2 linked regions of the Elephas maximus indicus genome follow. The protein of the gene in region 1 interacts with the protein of each later gene in a biochemical or structural test. Links are inferred from orthologs where the notes say so. Each region holds a gene or a part of one and is shown on either strand. Other genes may lie near its edges. The genes, in order: ETS2 and ZMYND11.

Region 1 (8,714 bases):
TAAAACTGCTTGTCTGGACAGGAAAGTTACATAGTAATAAAAAAAAAAATACTACCAGAGTGTTAAACAAAACGTTAATGACTAAAACTCATTTTCGAATTACCAGGGTTAGTACCGATGATGGAGTTTCTGAGTGGTGCAAACAGTTAATACGCTCAGCTACTAACCAGAAGTTTAGAGGTTCGAGTCCACCCACAGGTACCTCAGAAGAAAGCCCAGGCAATCTATTTCAGAAAAATCAGCCTCTGAGAACCCTACGGAGCACAGTTCTACTCTGACCCACATGCAGTCACCATGACCCGGAGTCAACTGGATGGCAGCTGGCCTAGCACAGGTGACAGCAACCTTTACCTCGAGGGGCATCCCTCACCCTCCCTGTTCCATGGCTACGGAACTGAAGGTCCATAACAAAGTTGTATGGGGGCACCCCTAACCTGCCCCCACTCTACTGGGTGCTCCCACCTGTAACAACCAAGAACTTCTAGGAGTTAAAATACTCGGCAATTTATATAACTTACTGGAAGCAGCAATTAGCCTATTCCCATGTAACTATTTAAATTCAACTGTGTGCTTTCTTACTTTCTCTTTATGAACAACATTATAACTAAAACACACCTCCCAACAACCCTGCCACCCAACACTAACACACATGGGGTTGCCATGAGTTGCAATCAACTCGATGGCAACTGGTTTTGCTGGGCTCTGGATACTGGAGACACACACACACACCCCTAAAATGGCAGTGTGGGAGGCAAGAGACATTGGAAAGGCTGTAAAGTCCCTTGCCCTGAAGGTAATTATCACAGCAGCCAAGACAGGAGAGAGAACACCTTGATAATCACCCCATGGGTGGGTGGGAGGGGAGGGTTGTTCTGGGATCAAAAGTGGCCACGCTGGATCAGAATCTCCATCTTGTCACTTCTGCCGTCCGCATTTCTCAAGAATCAGTGCTCACTGCTAAGGCTCGCCAGCGCTGACAGACGCCTACTCACTCAGCCCTAAGCACCCTTTCCCTGAACCTCCCCAACATCAGGGCTGGAGACAGTGTGCCATCTTGTAGGGAGGCACTGGAGGCCCAGGTGTTAACTGGCCCTGGATCAACAGCTACCACGGGGCTACTAAGGAGCAGACGAGGGACCAAATCCCCGTTGCATGTGGTCCTAACCCACTGTGCCAGGCACGTGCCCTTCTGCCTCCACATCACCATAAGGCAGAGACAGCAAACAGATACTATGACAGTAGGCCCGAGCCAAGACAATAGACATCTTGGGTTTGTCCAGTATCTATCCAGAACCCAGCAAAACCAGCTGCTGTCGAGTCAACTCCAACTTATAGCAACCCATGTGTGTGTCAGAGTAGAACTGTGCTCCACAGGGTTTTCAATGGCTAATTTTTTGGAAGTAAATTGCCAGGCAGGCCTTCCTTCTCTGGGTGGCCTCGAACCACCAACCTTTTGGTTAGTAGGCTGCCGGCTTTATCCTACATGTTCTAACTTCACAGAGACTGACAGAGAAAGGCTGCGGACGGCCACGGAAAAGCTCTGCCTAGCTTTTGTGTACAAATACCGAGAGAAAAGGCAGCCTACCCCTCCCACATAAAGAGGTATAATTACTAGCTACAGAATAGAATTCTTTTGTTGTCCAGCTCTTAATGAGTTTTGTAAAAAAACCATGTAGAATCAAAGAGCTCGACTAAATGGTTTCAGGCAGACACATCACTAATCAAATTTAAGTTCACTTATTTTACTCAACACAGCTTGTTAAAGTGACAGGCATGCCAAGTTCCTCCACATTAATCAACTTCATGTTTAGGTCATTTCGGTGTTGCCATACTGATCACTGCTTTTGAACCAAAAAAAGGGGGGGAAATGGCAGAACAGAATGGCCGACAGTGGTAACATTCGAAAAGAGGACAACCTGCCAGACGGCAGTACCCTTATTAGAACAAATAATCAGTTATGTGAGATCAGAACACAGGTTTGCACTTAGGTAAATCTTAAGAAAAACAAAATGAAACAAGCCTTTCACACTTTTGAAGGTACCTTTTGCTTTTTTCACTTGGAAAGTTATCAGTTTAGAGATGAATGACTAATCTCAGGAATGAGTGTTTGAATCGATTTCCCTGCGGGATACGCGGTGCTAACATTTATTGTACTGCGATGTTACTCAGAATTTTAATAAACCTTAACTTAGAGATTTATATGGGTGATTGCTGGCGGTGTGGGCAGGCAGCTAACACACATCACTTCCATCCCATGGAACACATGTAATCTCTTGCTGGTGAAATAAAATAAATTACTCCTATCTCCAAAGGGGCCTGCTCACCTATTTACTTTCTAAAGTAGCACAACTGCTATTTCAGTCTACCCTGAAATTTAGAACCGTCTAGCATTAAAAGCCTCCTGAACTTAAAAAAAAAAAGAAACCCAAAGCCCCCAAATACACATACGCAAACGCTCACGATTACTCTTTCCTTCAAAATACTTCAAGAAAATAAAGGCAGCCTACGCCTCCCGGTCCCCCATTCCCTCACCAATGTCGGCCGAGGGGACCCCGAATCCAGAGGTTTTCGGGCACCCGTAAGGGTTTCGCCCAAGCGGAAGGACAAGAGGGCGCCACCCGTTCACCCTCCTGGGGCCTCCCTCGCCTGCCGCCCGGGCTGGGCCCTGGACTTGGCCGAGCAGTTGGGGACCCTGCGCTCCGGGGTGCCGTAGCATTTCCGCTTTACGCGCCGGGGCCCCCCCTCCCCGATCCGGGCAACCTCCCTGCCGGGCCCGGCACCGCCCCCCAGAATGGGGCGCCTGAGAAAGTCTCCCACAAAGCCGGGGCGCGCCTGGGCCGGGAAGCCCGTGGACTGCGCGCGGGAGCTACCCGGACACCCTTCTGCGTTCTCAACGCCCTTAGTGAATTCAGGCGCCCTGGGCACCCGCAGGACGAGAAACCTGGGCAAAGAACAACCCCACCGGGCCCGGAATGCCTTTTAGAAAACAAAGCCAAGCAAAGCGAAACAAGACCCGCACCCCGCCCGGGAGGCCGCCCGGCGACCCGGCGGCACCGCCCGAGTGCGCAAGGCCCGGGCCGGCACGTCTCGGGGCCCCGGGCAACCTCGCCCGGGCACCTCGGCACTGACCCTGCCGCCGGGCCCTCGGCCGCTCCGCCACCCCCAAGGCCACTCGGTACCGAGAAAACAAGCCTGTGAGGATAACTCAGGCGCACGCCCCTCGGATTCTAAGAGGACCGCCACCCCGACCCTGACCCCCTGGTTCACTCCAGGATCCAGATCTTGGTGTCGCCTGCGTCTCCCGTCCCGTTTCTGGGTCACCCCTACCAGGGAAAGGAGCCGGGCGCAGGAGGCGGTTCTCAGCGGACGCCTAGCCGGCGCCCTCCAGGGTCTGCGGCGCGGTGGGGGCTCCAGGAGGGACCCCGCTCTTACCCCTGCGGGCAGGCCGGCGCGGACGGAGGCGGCGGTAACTGGGTGCGCGCCAGGCGAGGGCGAGGGCGAACGCTGAAGACGCGGGGGCCGCGGACCGGGTGGCGGACGGGGGCGCTCCGGGGGTTGCGGGCGGCAAGCCGGGCTCTCGACCTAGGGTGCACCGTGTTCCTCGCGGCAGCAGGAGGAAATACCGGCCCGTCCCCTCGCGGCGCAGCTCTTCAGGAGCGCGAAGAGGAGGGACTAAAGAGGGGAGGAGACAAGGGGAGGAGGGGAGGCGGAGGGACGGGAACGGGGGAGGGGACCAGAGGAGGAAGGAGGTCGGGGACAAGGGAAAGGAAGAGAGGGAGGGGGAGGAGAGGAGAAGAGTAGAGAGGCAAAGGAGAGGAAGGGAGAAAGGAGAAAGGAAGGAAAAGCTGGAAGGAAGAGCGGAGCGAAGAGGAAGAGAAGGGAGAAGAGAAAGGGGAGGAGGGGAGGAGCGGAGGAGGGGAGGAGCAAGCTCCTTCCGGCGGGGCCCTCTCTCCCGCGTCCGCTGTCACCTGGCTCTGTCCCAGGGACTCAGGATGTGTGCCGGGAGAGCCTTTCCTGGGAAGAATCAGTTTCCTCTCCTGATCCCTGTGGCTTTCACACCAAACCTGCCATTGGAATTCAGCATGAAGAGAATAATGAAGAGCGCTGGTGACACGGGTGGTCGCGGCGCTTGGCTAATAAGATCTCCCTGGGCGGTGCCCTCGAAAGTTGAGCTGGCCCATTCTTGGACCTCCCTCTGGATCCAAGATTTCTAGTTATTGGGTCATGAAAAGACTCTAAATGAAGGTAACAAGTACGATCTGGGCCCTTTGCTGGCTCACCACCAAGTTTATTGTGCACAACGAATTGCGCTACTCAGGGTAATTCCATTTCCATAGCCCTCGTGTGAGGGGCGCCCCCTAGAATTGAGCGGTGCCTATCGTAGTAACCAACACCGACTGAGCTTTCACTCGAGGCGAAGCACTCTACATGTATTATCATTTAATCTTCAGGACATTTCTCCAAGGTTTTATTGTTGCCACTTCGCACATGACAGACCTGAATCTTAGGGTAAGTAACTGGATCATAAGCGCGGGTACTCATGGGAAATTCAGGATGGCAACCCGACCTTTTCTGACTCCCAAGCCCATGGTCAAAACCGTCACCTATACGCGGGTTTCCATTTTTATCAGAAGGCGCCGAGCCCATGGCTAAAAATGTATGCATTTCCTATTTAGACTTAGATCCCAAACCAAACCCACAGCAGTCTAGTCGATTCCCACTCGTAGCGACCCTATAGAACAGAGTAGAACTGCCCCGTATTGTTTCCAAGGTTGCAATCTTTACTGAAGCAGATTGCTGCATCTTTCTCCCCGGGAGGGGCTGGTGGATTCGAACAGCTGAACTTTCTGCTGCCAGCACAGTCACTTAACTACTTAGACTCTCAATATTTTGGAGAGAAATTTAGATTTGTACGAGATTTTTTTAAAAAAGCCTAGTTTAGGCAAGACCCTAGGACTGAAAGCAGCTACATCATAAAGACAGGGTGCCGCGGGAGGGAGTGAAACTGTCCAGCTTCTGTCAGCCAGGGTTCCTGGTTTCCGTGGCAACCATGGATCTGCCGTTATCCGGATCACCGAGATACTGCAGCCCCTTAGTGCGCCTTGCCACTTGAGGGTGTCCAGGTATCACCATGGCACATGTCAGAGGCAGGCCACATTGTGCAAGGGGAAATCAGTGTTTTGGGGGGATTGAATTGATTCTGATGGCTTCTCAGTGTACGTTCAGGCCCGAATCAGAAAGGGTACATAGGTCAAGAAGGAGTTTTATAAATGGCATACAGATCCATAGTAAGTTACCATGGAGATGCAATGTGTTCCTTTTTTTTCTTTTCTTAAAACCATAGCGGAAAATCCTGACTCATCTGGCTGCCCTTCCAGGTAATACAGCGGCTTTTCCCCCAGGCTACTCACACAGTCCTGGATGGTGTCTGAGAAGCTTGGTGCCACGGCCAGTTTCGGGTGTCTGAGAAGCTTGGTGCCACTGCCTAGTCCCCTGTGCCTGCTCCCCACCCATGTTTGGTGCCAGAGGTTGATGGACAGGCTCCCTGGTGCTGTTGTTAATCTGCCGTTGAGTTGGCCCCGACTCATGGTGACCTCAGGCACAATGGCATGAAACGATGCCCTGTCCTGTGCCATTCCCGTGATAGGTCATGGATCCACAGGGTTTTCACTGGCTGATTTTTGGAAGTAGATCACCAGACTTTTCTCCCAGGGCTCCCTAAAGAGGACAGATGGAGACCCGTTGATTCTTTGTGAAGACGTCTTTCCTTCTTTTGAGGATGGGGGCCAGGAAGAAGCGCTTTGCTCACTGGGCAGTTTCAAGCATATACAAGCTGAGAGACAGAAATCAATGGAAGGAGCACTGGAGTTGGGAGAAAATCTTTTCCTAATGGCCAAGCCTTCCCCTGCTTACTAACTCGGAATACCTTGAGCCTATTATTTAACTCCTCTGCAGAAAAGGGGCAATTATGGAACCAACCTATCCACCACCCATCTGTCAGTTTGTCATAGTGTGGTGGCTTGTGTGTTGCTGTGACGCTGGAAGCCATGCTATGGGTATTTCAAATATAAGCAGCATCACCCGTGGTGGACAGTTTTCTGTGGAGCTTCTAGGCTAAGAGAGACTATGAAGAAAGGCCTGGGGATCTACTTCCAAAACTCAGCCGATGAAAACCTTATGGGTTACGACAGAACTTTGTTCTATTCTCTTGCTTTGGACACGCCATCAGGAAGGCTCAATGGACAAAGCAGGACATCATGTTTGGTGAAGTAGAGGACCAGTGAGGGTGAGGGAGACACTCGGCAAGATGGATTGGCTTAATAGCCACAATGATGGACTCAAACATGCATTGATTGGGAGGATGACACAGGTTGCCATGAAAAAGAGTCAGCTCACTGGCATCTGTCTGTTCATCCATCCATCCATCCAACCATCCATCCACCCACCCACCCAGCCACGTACCCCTCCCTCCCTCTCTCTCTATGGAACCTATGTCATAAGACATAAATCCCAGTACTTACCAGTGTTGAGTGCCTTTTGAGCTGAGAGAGCTCAAAATGGCAGCTACTAAGTTTCTTTCTCCAAACTCCCCCCTTGAATCATTTTATGAGAAACACTTGGAAAAAATTGTCATACACATGAAAAAAGAAATTGTCCCTACTGTCTCAGATCCCACTGGTGTGAAACCCTACCCAAAATGACCATGGCCTGGATGACAAAATGGCAGAGCTGAAAGAGGTGTGGAGGCCTCTAGGAGAAGAAGCTAGGTCAGTTTGCCTGGGTCACACTCGGAAGGGACACAGAGTCCACACAAGCCTAGTCTCCTGACTCCCACCCAGGCCCCTCTAGCTCCCTGCTTCCCACAAAGCCCCCTTGCCCTGGGTCCTGTGCTGTGACTGTTCCACCGCCACAGTTTGATGGTGACATGAACTTAATAAAATGACGTATGCTAGTTCTGGGATGATACCGGGGCTCCTAATTTTTTTTTTTTTTTTTTTTTTTGTCCTTGTTATTAGCTGGTTTCCTAGTTACTCAGCCTAGTTATTAAACCCCTGCCTGGTTGAAGCCTGTGATTATTCATTGACTGTTACGGCGCGATGCTCAAGGAACACCAGGCTTTACAGTAAATGAAGCCTATTTAAGTACTGCGCTCGCTGCACTTTAAAATCAAAAGTTGAAGGTGTTAGAAGGAAATGAAAAGGCAGAAGACGCACAGGGTGAAATGATCAGATGTGCTTATGTCAAGCTGAGTTTAAGAGTCATCTTAATCCTTTTCCCTTAAGACAGAATAAAGCTCAGAGAAGAAAAAAAGGAAAGAGATAGCAGAACCTATGTCTGCACAAATACTAAATTATCTAGAGAGTAAAATACAGATAAAACGTTCTTTAGAAACCAGACACTATCATTAAAAAGTCATTCTTTAAAAAAAGAAACACGTTTCCTTAGAGATACCTTCATATTTGCCTTGAGATCCAAATCAATAGAGGCAACACACGATTCAAGGTAGTTTCAAGTTGCAAGTTAAACAGACGTCATTTGGCCGGAAGTGTATCATTTATTCATTCAGTAAACATAGGCTCCAGGACCAGGAAGACAAAGATGAATAAGCCTTGTCCCTCGCCCTCAAAAAAATAAAAATGTTGAGAAAGAAATGTGCACTTCACGTACAAAATTCATGAGACAAATGAGACTGGACATCCTGGGGGCAGGAGGCGGAGGAAGCAAAGAAAGCCCTCAGGGATAGAAATTATTTAATTCATGTATATTCGGGTGCCTTTGTTCACTCTTCTATTTACCCTGCGTCTCCTGGTAGTGTCTAGCTGTAGCATTTATTCCCCTAATACATGTTGGCACTGATAAAGGCGAGCTTTCTACCCACTCACCTCCAGATATATATATACAATAATTATACTATCCACTTATGCTCATTTGCAGGCTGGCATGGATACAAGGAATCTCAGGCAGTTATGGGGTCATCCAGCAACATGTCATCCTCCCTGCAGGATGGTTGTATCAAATTACACAAGAGTGTACCAGTTGCAGTCAAGTCGATTCCAACGCATGGCGATCCCACGTGTATCAGATTAAAATGCACTCTGTGGGGTTTTCAATGGCCGATTTTTCAGAAGTAGATTGCCACGCCTTTCTGCCGAGGCACCTCTGGGTAAACTCGAACCTCCAAACTTTTGGTTAGTAGCCGAGCAAGTTAACTGTTTGCACCACCCAGGGACTCCACCCAAAAGTAGGTGGTGTCTTATTCTCTTATTTACGATTCCTCGAAACAGCAAAAAAAAAAAAAAAAACAGTATTATTCTGGAGGTCAGAAACTTTTTTAATGCCCATTAAAGTTTCTTCTCTTGTTGGCATCCTATTTGTCCCTTGGGTTCCCTGTGGGCATGAGGACATGATAATGAGACTAGAGTGTGTGATCTTGACCTCTGAAGGGCAGCCTTGAGGACAGACTGCCCAGGGTCAAACCCCATCTTTGTCAAGTTTATATAATAACAATACTTTTCTTCTAGGGCCTTGGTGAGGATCCCAAAACCCATTGCTGTCTAGTGATCCAATAGGACAGGGTAGAACTGCCCCATAGGGTTTCCAGGGAACAACTGGTGGATTCGAACTACTAAACTTTTGGTTAGCAGCTGAGCTCTTAACCACTGCACCACCAGGGCTCCTGGTGAAGATTAGAAGAGTTAATATTTGCTAAGCAC
Region 2 (9,297 bases), on another chromosome or scaffold:
GTACTCATATTCCTTCTTGTACTAGAGTAAAAAATAAAAACAAAAGCTCTCAAGATAAAAGGACAGAGGAAACACTGTCCTTCCAACCTTAGATCGCTTAAGGTTAGAATTCACGGGAACACAGAACAGCCTACATCAGGACACAGTAAGGAAATACCTTTACTGAGACACCAACGGGAAAATAATGCATTGTTCTAAAGGGCTCAACTTGTGTTAAAACCTATCTTCCCAAGTGATACTAAAATGTAGGAAAGAAAGCATGTAACTAACACTTACCTAGTGCTTACTATGGGCCAGGAACTGTTTTAAGTGCTTTAAAAATATTAACTCATCTAACTGTCACAATAACTCTATGAGGTATGTACTATTATCATCCTTGTTCTTCCGATGGGAAAATGGAGACAAGGCTTGACAAGGTTAAGTAGCTGACCCAAGGTCACTCTGCTGGTAAATGACAGAGATAGGATTCAGGCCCAAGCTGCCTGGCTTCAAAGTCTGGGCTCTTAATCATTTTGTTACGCTGCCTCCCCAATCCAATGCTAGGAAAAAAAAAAAAAAAAAAATCTAATCACCATGTAAAATAATGCAATGCTACATCCAAGTTCAGGTTTTCAAACACTGTAATGTTTTAATCAAGACCATAAGATGGTCCATTTTGTTCTTAAATGTTTTCTGCAGATACAACCTCTTTGTTTAAATGTAACGATGTTCTCCTTAAAGAATTCAACTGAAGTAAAAGGAAGGTAAAGAAAGTTTTACCCCAGGGGTTATGGCTTTAAGTAAGCAAGGTAGAACAGTATTTGATACTTCTATTACAAATGTTAAAACTCTTAGTTAGATCCAATTAGTGTCTTAATATTCTAAACATGCTCAATTAAGGTATGCCAAAGGATATGAATGCCTCTATTATTATACCCTATCTGAACATTCCTGAGAAGAAAGGGGATACAAAGGGGTGAGAGTTCACATAAACACATGTCAATTCACTGAAACGTGCATGATGACATCCACGAAGTGCCAACATAATGATATCCTAGGAATATGTAGTATGATCTAAAGAGCTAAATCTAACACTTTAACTAATTTTTCTTTGTAAAGCTGGAAGCACTTATATGTATGTTTATTTGAACACCTTGCAACAGGTACTGCAAAAACAAATAGCCTAATCTACAGAATGTAAAAGGGGATTATAGAACACAAATATTAATGCTTGTCACAGACACTGATCCTTCAGTTTTCAAGATCTATGAAAAAAGGTACTGTGTAAAATATAGAAATCCTCTGTTAATCAGAGGTAGAGTCAAGCAAGATATTTTATTGATTCTGTCATAATTACAAAATAACACATCCCGTATCTTCTGATCTTTGATTTTTAACCTTGTCATCCTATAAAAAACAGTTGACCAAAACAATGACTGTAATGTACCTAGCCCCAGTTAGTCGAAGACAAGGAAAATATGCCTGTACAGAAATTAGTATTTTATCTCTCGCTTGTATAAATTAGATATTCAGGCAAAAAAAAAAAAAAAAAAAAAAAAAAACTACAAAGATGACCTTGCTTCCTCAAGATTTTAAACTCTGCAGGTACACCAAGACTATCACCCTGAGAACTTCCAACCATTAGTTAGAACCAGTGACCCAAAGGCCTGAAATTACTAAGCTAAAAACTACTATATTTCTGTTTAAAAGAAAACAAGGAAAAGCTTGTTTTCTTCCATTCAACATATAAGCAAATCATATTATTTTTAATAATGCACTTGTCTTCTATACGAAACCAAAGTTCACAGTTATTCTTCCATCAAGGCTTATTGTAGGATGCAGAAGGACAAGGGTGAGGTAGTGCCAACTCCCTCATGTTAAGCACCTCAGAAACTTAAAGAGGCGCTACTTTTTCCACTCCATCAGCCACCTGCTTCAGCAATTTCCCCCACAGAATGCAGTGGTTTCCTAAAAACACTACTCTTAGACATTTATCAAAATGGGCTTTCCTTGTAAAGGAATGCTTCACACACTGCACTACCTCCCTCCCCAGCCTGCTTATTTCAGAATGGAACATAAGGCTGCGTCGTGTTTTATATGTACACATATACACTATAGTACATTCTATACAATAAGTGTGCCTCTACATGCCGGGTGTGGGAGAAAGCTTGAGGGGAAACAATTTACATAAAAGTTGTCAGTGCCAAGAGACTCCAGTGCTCCACACCTGCTACGTAGGGTCCATGGTCCTTGTGCCCCTTGCCTCCCAGAAGGGGCCAGTGAAGCAGGACACTTCCCTTAAGGAGTTCCCACCTCATCTCAAAGAAACTTAGCCTTTTAGGCTTGCCTGTTAGGGGCTTCCCCATGAACTGCGGCTTTCTCCAAATCCTCTCGATAGGAAGAAAAGTGGTAGATTACTCAGGAAAATCCTAGAGCCTAGATCGTGAGAGACACAGGAACACCATACAACGTGGGAGGAGAGAAGTTGGGGTGACGGTGGTGCAACCAAGGAATTCTTTTCCAGAGACAGGAGAAAAGGAACCTGTTGACGAGGCAAAGGGCCTCGCTTTTATTTGTTGCTGCTCTATCCAGGGTATCTCGCCCCCCGCTCCTGGGATAACCGGACTGAATCCCTGCCTCAGTCCTTGGGGGACAAACCCTACCCAGCAGCTGCCATTGCTCCCCACACAACGAACCGCGACAGCAAATGCTTACACCAGCCCTCGTTTCCCTCCCTCTCCCCGCCCTCACCACACATACAATCCACGTTCCCTTCGGACCCCGGCCAGCGACCGTGTCCCCGAGAGGCCTGGGCCGCGGGCGAGAGAGCCGCAGGCGGCGCGGTGCAGGGGCCGCTCGGCCTCCTCACGCGACTCCCCGGCTTCCCCGACACCGACAAGGCCCCTGCGCAGTTCTCCTGAGGAGCCTCTCCCGGGAACCCGGGAAGGCGAGAGGGGTCGCGGGCAGCGGCACACGCTGTCTGCAACAAAATCCCACAACGCCCGCCCGCTCACAGCCGCCTTGGCGTCCCCGGCCCGGGGGACCCCTGCCCGGGAGCGTCCTCAGCCCGCCGCACACAAAGCTCCTCGGGCAACTTTGACACGATAGGCGAGAGGGGATCTATCACTACCCCCCGCCGCCACCCCCAAAAGACTGCAGGCTGGAGCGGGGGTCAGAGGCACAACAATACCGGGTCACCGTAATCGCCATTAATACTCATAAGCAGCCCCCCGGGCAGAGCCGACAGCCGCTCCCCGCCCGCGCCCACCTCGCCCCCCGCGCCGCGGCCCGCTGCCCTCGCCCCCATCACGGCCCGCCGCCCCGGGCCTCCCCGCCCTCGGCAGAAGCTCATTTCTTTCCCCCACCATTATGCTCTGGCTCCTCGCCGCCGCCGCCGCCGCCGCCTCGCCCGCGCCCTCCCCCACCCCTCTCTCCCCGTCCCCCTCGGCACCGACTCGGCGCCCGCCCTCCTTCCCCAACCACCAACCACCTCTCCCGGGCCTGGGGCCGCGCCGGAGAGGCCGCGCGGGAGCAGCGGGGGACTGCGCGGGGCGCCAGGCGCGAGCGCGGGTGGGCGCTGGTGCGGCCCGCGGCGCCCGCCCCCGCCGCCCCGGCCTCCCCGCCGCGCCCGGGCTCCGCCGGCCAGGGGACTGGTGGCATAGGATTTGGTAGTTTGAGCGGCGCCATGTTTATAATCCTCCATCACATCAAACACACACGGAGACACCCGGCGAGGGAAGAGCGAGATGACTGAGGGCGGCCCGGGGCGCGTGTGTGCGGGGTGCACGGCCGCCGGCCCCGGGGGACCCAGGTGCCGGAGCGGTGCGCGCGGGGAGGGCTCGCCGCGCCGCCGTGTCCCGCCGGCCCGGCCCGCTCGCCGCCCGCCCGCCCGCCCGCCCGCCCGCCGCTTCCCCACTTACTGTCTCGTCGCCGGTGCTGCTGCGGCGGGCCGCTCTAGAGCCGCGAGCAGGGCGGCGCGGCGCGGCGCGGCGCGGCGCGGGGGACACGGGCCGCGCCGCGGGTGGAGAAGTTGGAGGGCGCCGCAGCTGCCTGGGGAAAGTTTTCGGTCCCTTCCCGAGGCCGTGCCTCCCGCTTCACATGTTGGTTGTTGGGTGTGTGAGCTTTTTTTTTTTTTTTTTTTTTAATCCCCTCCTCTTTCCCCCCTTCTTTCTCTTTTCACCACCCGCCCCCCCAAAACCCGCGCACTCACTCCCTCTCCCTCTCTTTTTCTCTCCCCCTCAGAGTTTTATTGTGTCTGATTTTTTTCTTCCCTTCCTCTGTCTGTCCACACAGTTCAGATTTCTGGGGTAAACAGGGTTTCAGATGTAGCGAGGAGGAGTGGGCAGCGCGGGCAGAAGGAGAACTCTAGCGGCAGTGGCTGGACTTGCTTCTTTCCACCCAGGGAGTTTTTATGTACATTCATATTATGCAAATAATATAGAGGCGTTTTTACGTATTCACACTTACCTTCCCTCCCTTCCTATCTTTGGCGCCTCTATCCAAAAGTTGTCTTGGCATAGTGTTATAATCCCACAAGTGCATTTTATACCAGTACATACATGAAAGATACATCCATGCAGGCACGCTTGAGTAAAAAGCAGGACACACAAAGATTTAAACACTCGTGTCATTGCTAGGTTTCGACGGTAAGAAGATGTATGCAACTCTCGGCCAAGACAGGTTTTTATGTGGGGTGTACCTGCTTTGTAGTTTAGGTTGTATGGAACTGCAAAGTCTTTGAAAAGCGTTAAGTTTTAAAATAACAAAATTGGTAAAATAGTTTTAATATCTTTTTAATCCCATCATAAAAAGGAATTGCAGGGATATGCTGAATCTCATTCCATGTATATGCAAATATGACTTCAAAGGAAAAAAAGGACCATCCATTGTCAGTTTGGCGAGAAAGCTACAAGTTTGTGTGAGAAGTAGGTTATCTTATAATTTGTAGTTTGTAATTCTAGATCGGACCAGAGAAGATCTATTTAAGAAAGTCTTGGAGATAAGCATGTATTTTCGGTTTCTCATGTTTTCTCCAATGACCTTTCTCTACTGGGACAATTCAGCCACAATTTCATACAGATTATTATTGGATATGTGTACCTGAAAATCACTGGGAAGAGACTAGAAATTCTGGGCTTCTAATGCAATTTATCGTTACACTTTCACAATGGCTCCTACTCTCATATAAGGTCGCTATGTGTCAGAATCCACTTGAAACCACAAAACAACACTAAACTAGAACATATGAGTGCGCCTGCTTGAATAGGTGGTCTACAGTGTACGCCAGTCACTAACGTTATATTCCAAATGCCAAAGAAACAATTTTTAACCATTCACAGACCTGGTTCTGATACATCTGAGAGAGTTTTTAGTTATCTCAAGGAACATCACAAATGTTAATTAATTTTAAGGATAAAATTCAGCAGAGGGGTTAAAGATTGTCAGAAAAAAATCAAGCCATGCCTGGTTTAAATGCTGGACTAGAAATTCCAACAATGAATTGCTTTAGTTTAAGTAAATCACCTTAAAAAAAAAAGTCTGTTACTGCATCTAAAAACTAGAGGGACCACATGATTGTGTTTACTTTGCAGAGGTCACTCAAGTGAGGTAAGGTCGTATATGTATAAAAGGAAGCCTTTTAGGAAGGAAGCCACTGCATAACTCCACATTTTTATCCAATTATATTATGTAGGCATCATTTCCATTTTTTTTTAACCTGGATACCATCTCTCATTCTAAGTTAGATAACGTAAACGTACATTTCTTATGATTTTGCATAGAATTTAACTCTTGTCTCTATTTTCCTTTCAAACAATTTATTTACCTCACTGTTCCTCAGCTGAGTGATTATGTGTGTGTTGGGGGGAGAGGGAGGAAGGTCCAGAAGACCAAAGTAGCCATTTCCACATAACCTAAATTATACCATGAGTTTATTTACCAGATTGTGAAGAGGAAAAAAACAGGGCTAAAATGGACAGAGTGAAGCGGGGAAAAAGACGAGTAGTGGAATACAAGGAATAGTTTATGTCAACTGAATGTTTTTGAGACTTAATCAGTTGCTGTTGAGTTGACTGGCTGATGGGAGCTCCATGTGTATCAGAGTAGAACTGTGCTCTGTAGGGATTCCAATCTCTGGTTTTTAAACTTTTTTTTTTTTTTAATTGAACTTTAGATGAAGGTTTACAGAACAAACTAGTTTCTCAACAAACAGCTAGAACACACATTGTTCTATGACACTGGTTAACAACTCCACGACATGTCAACACTCTCCCTTCTCAACCCTGGGTTCCCTATTACTGGCTTTCCTGTTCCTTCCTGCCTTCCAGTCCCTGCCCGAGGGCTGGTACGCCCCTTCAGCCTTGTTTTGTTCCATGGGCCTGTTCAATCTTTTGCTGAAGGGTGAACCTCAGGAGCGGCCTCATTACTGAGCTGAAAGGGCGTCCGAGAGCCATACTCTCAGGGTTTCTCCAGTTTCTGCCAGGCCAGCAAGTCTGGTCTTGCTTCTTTAGTTAGAATTTTGTTCTACATTTTTCTCCAGCTCTGTCCAGAACCCTGTATTGTGATCCCTGTCAGAGCAGTCAGTGGTGATAGCAGCGAACATCTCGTTGTACTGGACTCAGTCTGGTGGACGCCGTGGTAGATGTGGTCCATTAGTCCTTTAGACTAATCTTTCCCTTGTGTCTTTAGTTTTCTTCATTCTTCCTTGCTCCCGAAGGGGTGAGACCAGTGGAGTGTCCTAGATGGCTGCTCACAGGCTTTTAAGACCCCAGACACTACTCACCAAAGCAGAATGTAGAACATTTCCTTTATAGACTCTGTTATGCCAACTGAGCTAGATGTTCCCCGAGACCATGGTCCCCACAGAATGGCTAGTTTTTAAGAAGTAGATCACCAGGCCTTTCTTCCAAGGAGCCTCTGAGTGGACTTAAACTTCCAACCTTTTGGTTACCAGAAAGCGTTAACTGTTTGCACCACCCAAGGACTCCTTTAGAGACTTAGCACCAACTGGAAGAAGAACCCCCATCATAACTTTCTTAATTCTTCCTTCTTACGTATCAAAACTCTTTATACTCAAGTGTAAATCATATCACATTTTTCGATATTCCACTTTGAAAAATATTACGTAAATGGAGAAGGCTTGCAATATTCAACACACTGGGTGAAAATTTTTGTCTCTAAAAAATAAATCAAATTACATCCCTAACTGATGCTATATACCAAAATAACTCAAATGACTTGAAGAATATAATGGTAAAAATTGAAAACCATTCTTTAAAAGCTAAAAGAAAATATTGTTGTTGTTAAGTGCCCTCCAGTTTGTTCCGACTCATAGTGACCGTATGTACAACGGAACGAAACACTGCCCGCTCCTGTGCCATCCTCATGATGGTTACACATGAGCCCATTGTTGCAGCCACTACATCAATCCATGTTGTTGAGGGCCTTCCTCTTTTTCACTGACCTTCTACTTTGCCAAGCATGATGTCCTTTTCCAGAGACTGGTCCTCCTGATAACATGTCCAAAGTACATGAGACAAAGTCTTGCCATCTTAGCTTCTAAGGAGCATTCTGGCTGTACTTCTGCCAGGACAGATTTGTCCATTCTTCTGGCAGTCCATTGTATACTCAGTATTCTTCACCAACATCTTAATTCAAAGGCATCAGTTCTTCTTTGGTCTTTCTTACTTATTGTCCAATTTTCGAATGCATTATATGAGGCAACTGAAAACACCACGGTGTGGGTCAGGCGCACCTTAGTCCTTAAGGTGACATCTTTGCTTTTTATCATGTTAAAGAGGTCTTTTGCCGCATATTTGCCCAATGCAATGCGTCTTTTGATTTCTCGACTGCTTCTTCCATGGCTGTTGATTGTGGATCCAAGTAAAATGAAATCCTTGACAACTTCAATGTTTTCTTCATTTATCATGATGTTGCTTATTGGTCCAGTTGTGGGGATTTTTGTTTTCTTTATGTTCAGATGTAATCCATACTGAAGGCTGTGGTCTTTGAACTTCATCAGTTAAGTGCTTCAAGTCCTCTTCATTTTCAGCAAGTATGGTTGATTTTTTTTTTTTTTTTATGGTTCTGTCATCTGCATATTGCAGGTCGTTGATTAGTCTTCCTCCAATCTTGATGCCCCATTCTTCTTCATACAGTCCAGCTTCTTGGGTTATTTGCTCAGCATACAGATCAAATAAGTATGGTGAAAGGATACAACCCCGGCAAACACCTTTCTTGACTTTAAACCACTCAGTATCTCCTTGTTCTGTTCAAACAACTGCCTCTTGGTCTATGTATAATTTCTTCATGAGCACAATTAAGTATTCTGGAATTCCCATTTTTTGCAATGTTATCCATAATTTGTTATGATTCATACAGTTGAATGCCTTTGCATAGTCAATGAAACACACGTAAACATCTTTCTGGTATTCTGTGCTTTCAACGAAGATCCATCTGACATCAGCAATGACATCCCGTGTTCCATGTCCTCTTTTGAATCATTCTTGAATTTCTGGCAGTTCCCTGATGCTCCAACCGCTTTTGAATGATCTTCAACAAAATTTTACTTGTGTGTGATATTAATGGTATTGTTAAATAATTTCTGCATTCTTTTGAATCACCTTTTTTTGGAATGGAAAGAAACATGGATCTCTTCCAGTTGGTTGGCCAGGCAGCTGCCTTCCAAATTTCTTGGCATAGATGAGTGAGCACTTCCAGCTCCACATCCATTTGTTGAAACATCTCAATTGCTATTCTGTCAATTCTTGGAGCCTTGTTTTTCACCAATGCTTCAGTGCAGCTTAGACTTCTTCCTTCAGTTCCATTATTTCTTGATTATATGCTACCTCCTGAAAAGGTTGAATGTTGACCAGTTGTTTTTGATACAGTGGCTCTATGTATTCATTCTATCTTCTTTTGAGGCTTCCTGCATAGTTTAATATTTTCCCCGTAGAATCCTTCAATATTGCAGCTTGAGGCTTAAATTTTTTCTCCAGTTCCTTCAGCTTGAAAAATGTCAAACGTGTTTTTCCGTTTTGGTTTTCTAACTCCAAGTTTTGCACATTTCATAATACTTTACTTTGTCTTCTTGAGCTGCCCTTTGAAATCTTCTGTTTAGCTCTTTTACTTCATCACGTCTTCCATTCACTTTAGCTACTCTGTTCAAAAGCAAGTTTCAGAGTCTCTTTTGACATCCATTTTGGTCTTTTCTTTCTTTCCTGTCTTTTTAATGGCCTCTTGCTTTCTTTATGTATGCGGTCCTGGATGTCATTCCACAACTGGTCTGGTCTTTGGTCATTAGCATTCAGTGCATCAAAT

What was found.
Region 2: the proteins of ETS2 (region 1) and ZMYND11 form a complex in vitro, tested with the Homo sapiens proteins (2 studies listed by BioGRID). The link is inferred for Elephas maximus indicus from reciprocal best matches to the Homo sapiens genes ETS2 and ZMYND11.

The regions. Positions count from the first base shown.
Region 1 is NC_064820.1:221,193,093-221,201,806, reverse strand, and holds the start of ETS2 (protein C-ets-2), read right to left. Parts: upstream 3,651-8,714; 5' UTR 3,433-3,650; intron 1-3,432. UniProt on the Homo sapiens protein: Transcription factor activating transcription. Binds specifically the DNA GGAA/T core motif (Ets-binding site or EBS) in gene promoters and stimulates transcription.
Region 2 is NC_064822.1:20,702,593-20,711,889, forward strand, and holds the start of ZMYND11 (zinc finger MYND domain-containing protein 11), read right to left. Parts: upstream 4,079-9,297; 5' UTR 3,900-4,078; intron 3,401-3,899; exon of another isoform or gene 3,345-3,400; intron 1-3,344. UniProt on the Homo sapiens protein: Chromatin reader that specifically recognizes and binds histone H3.3 trimethylated at 'Lys-36' (H3.3K36me3) and regulates RNA polymerase II elongation. Does not bind other histone H3 subtypes (H3.1 or H3.2).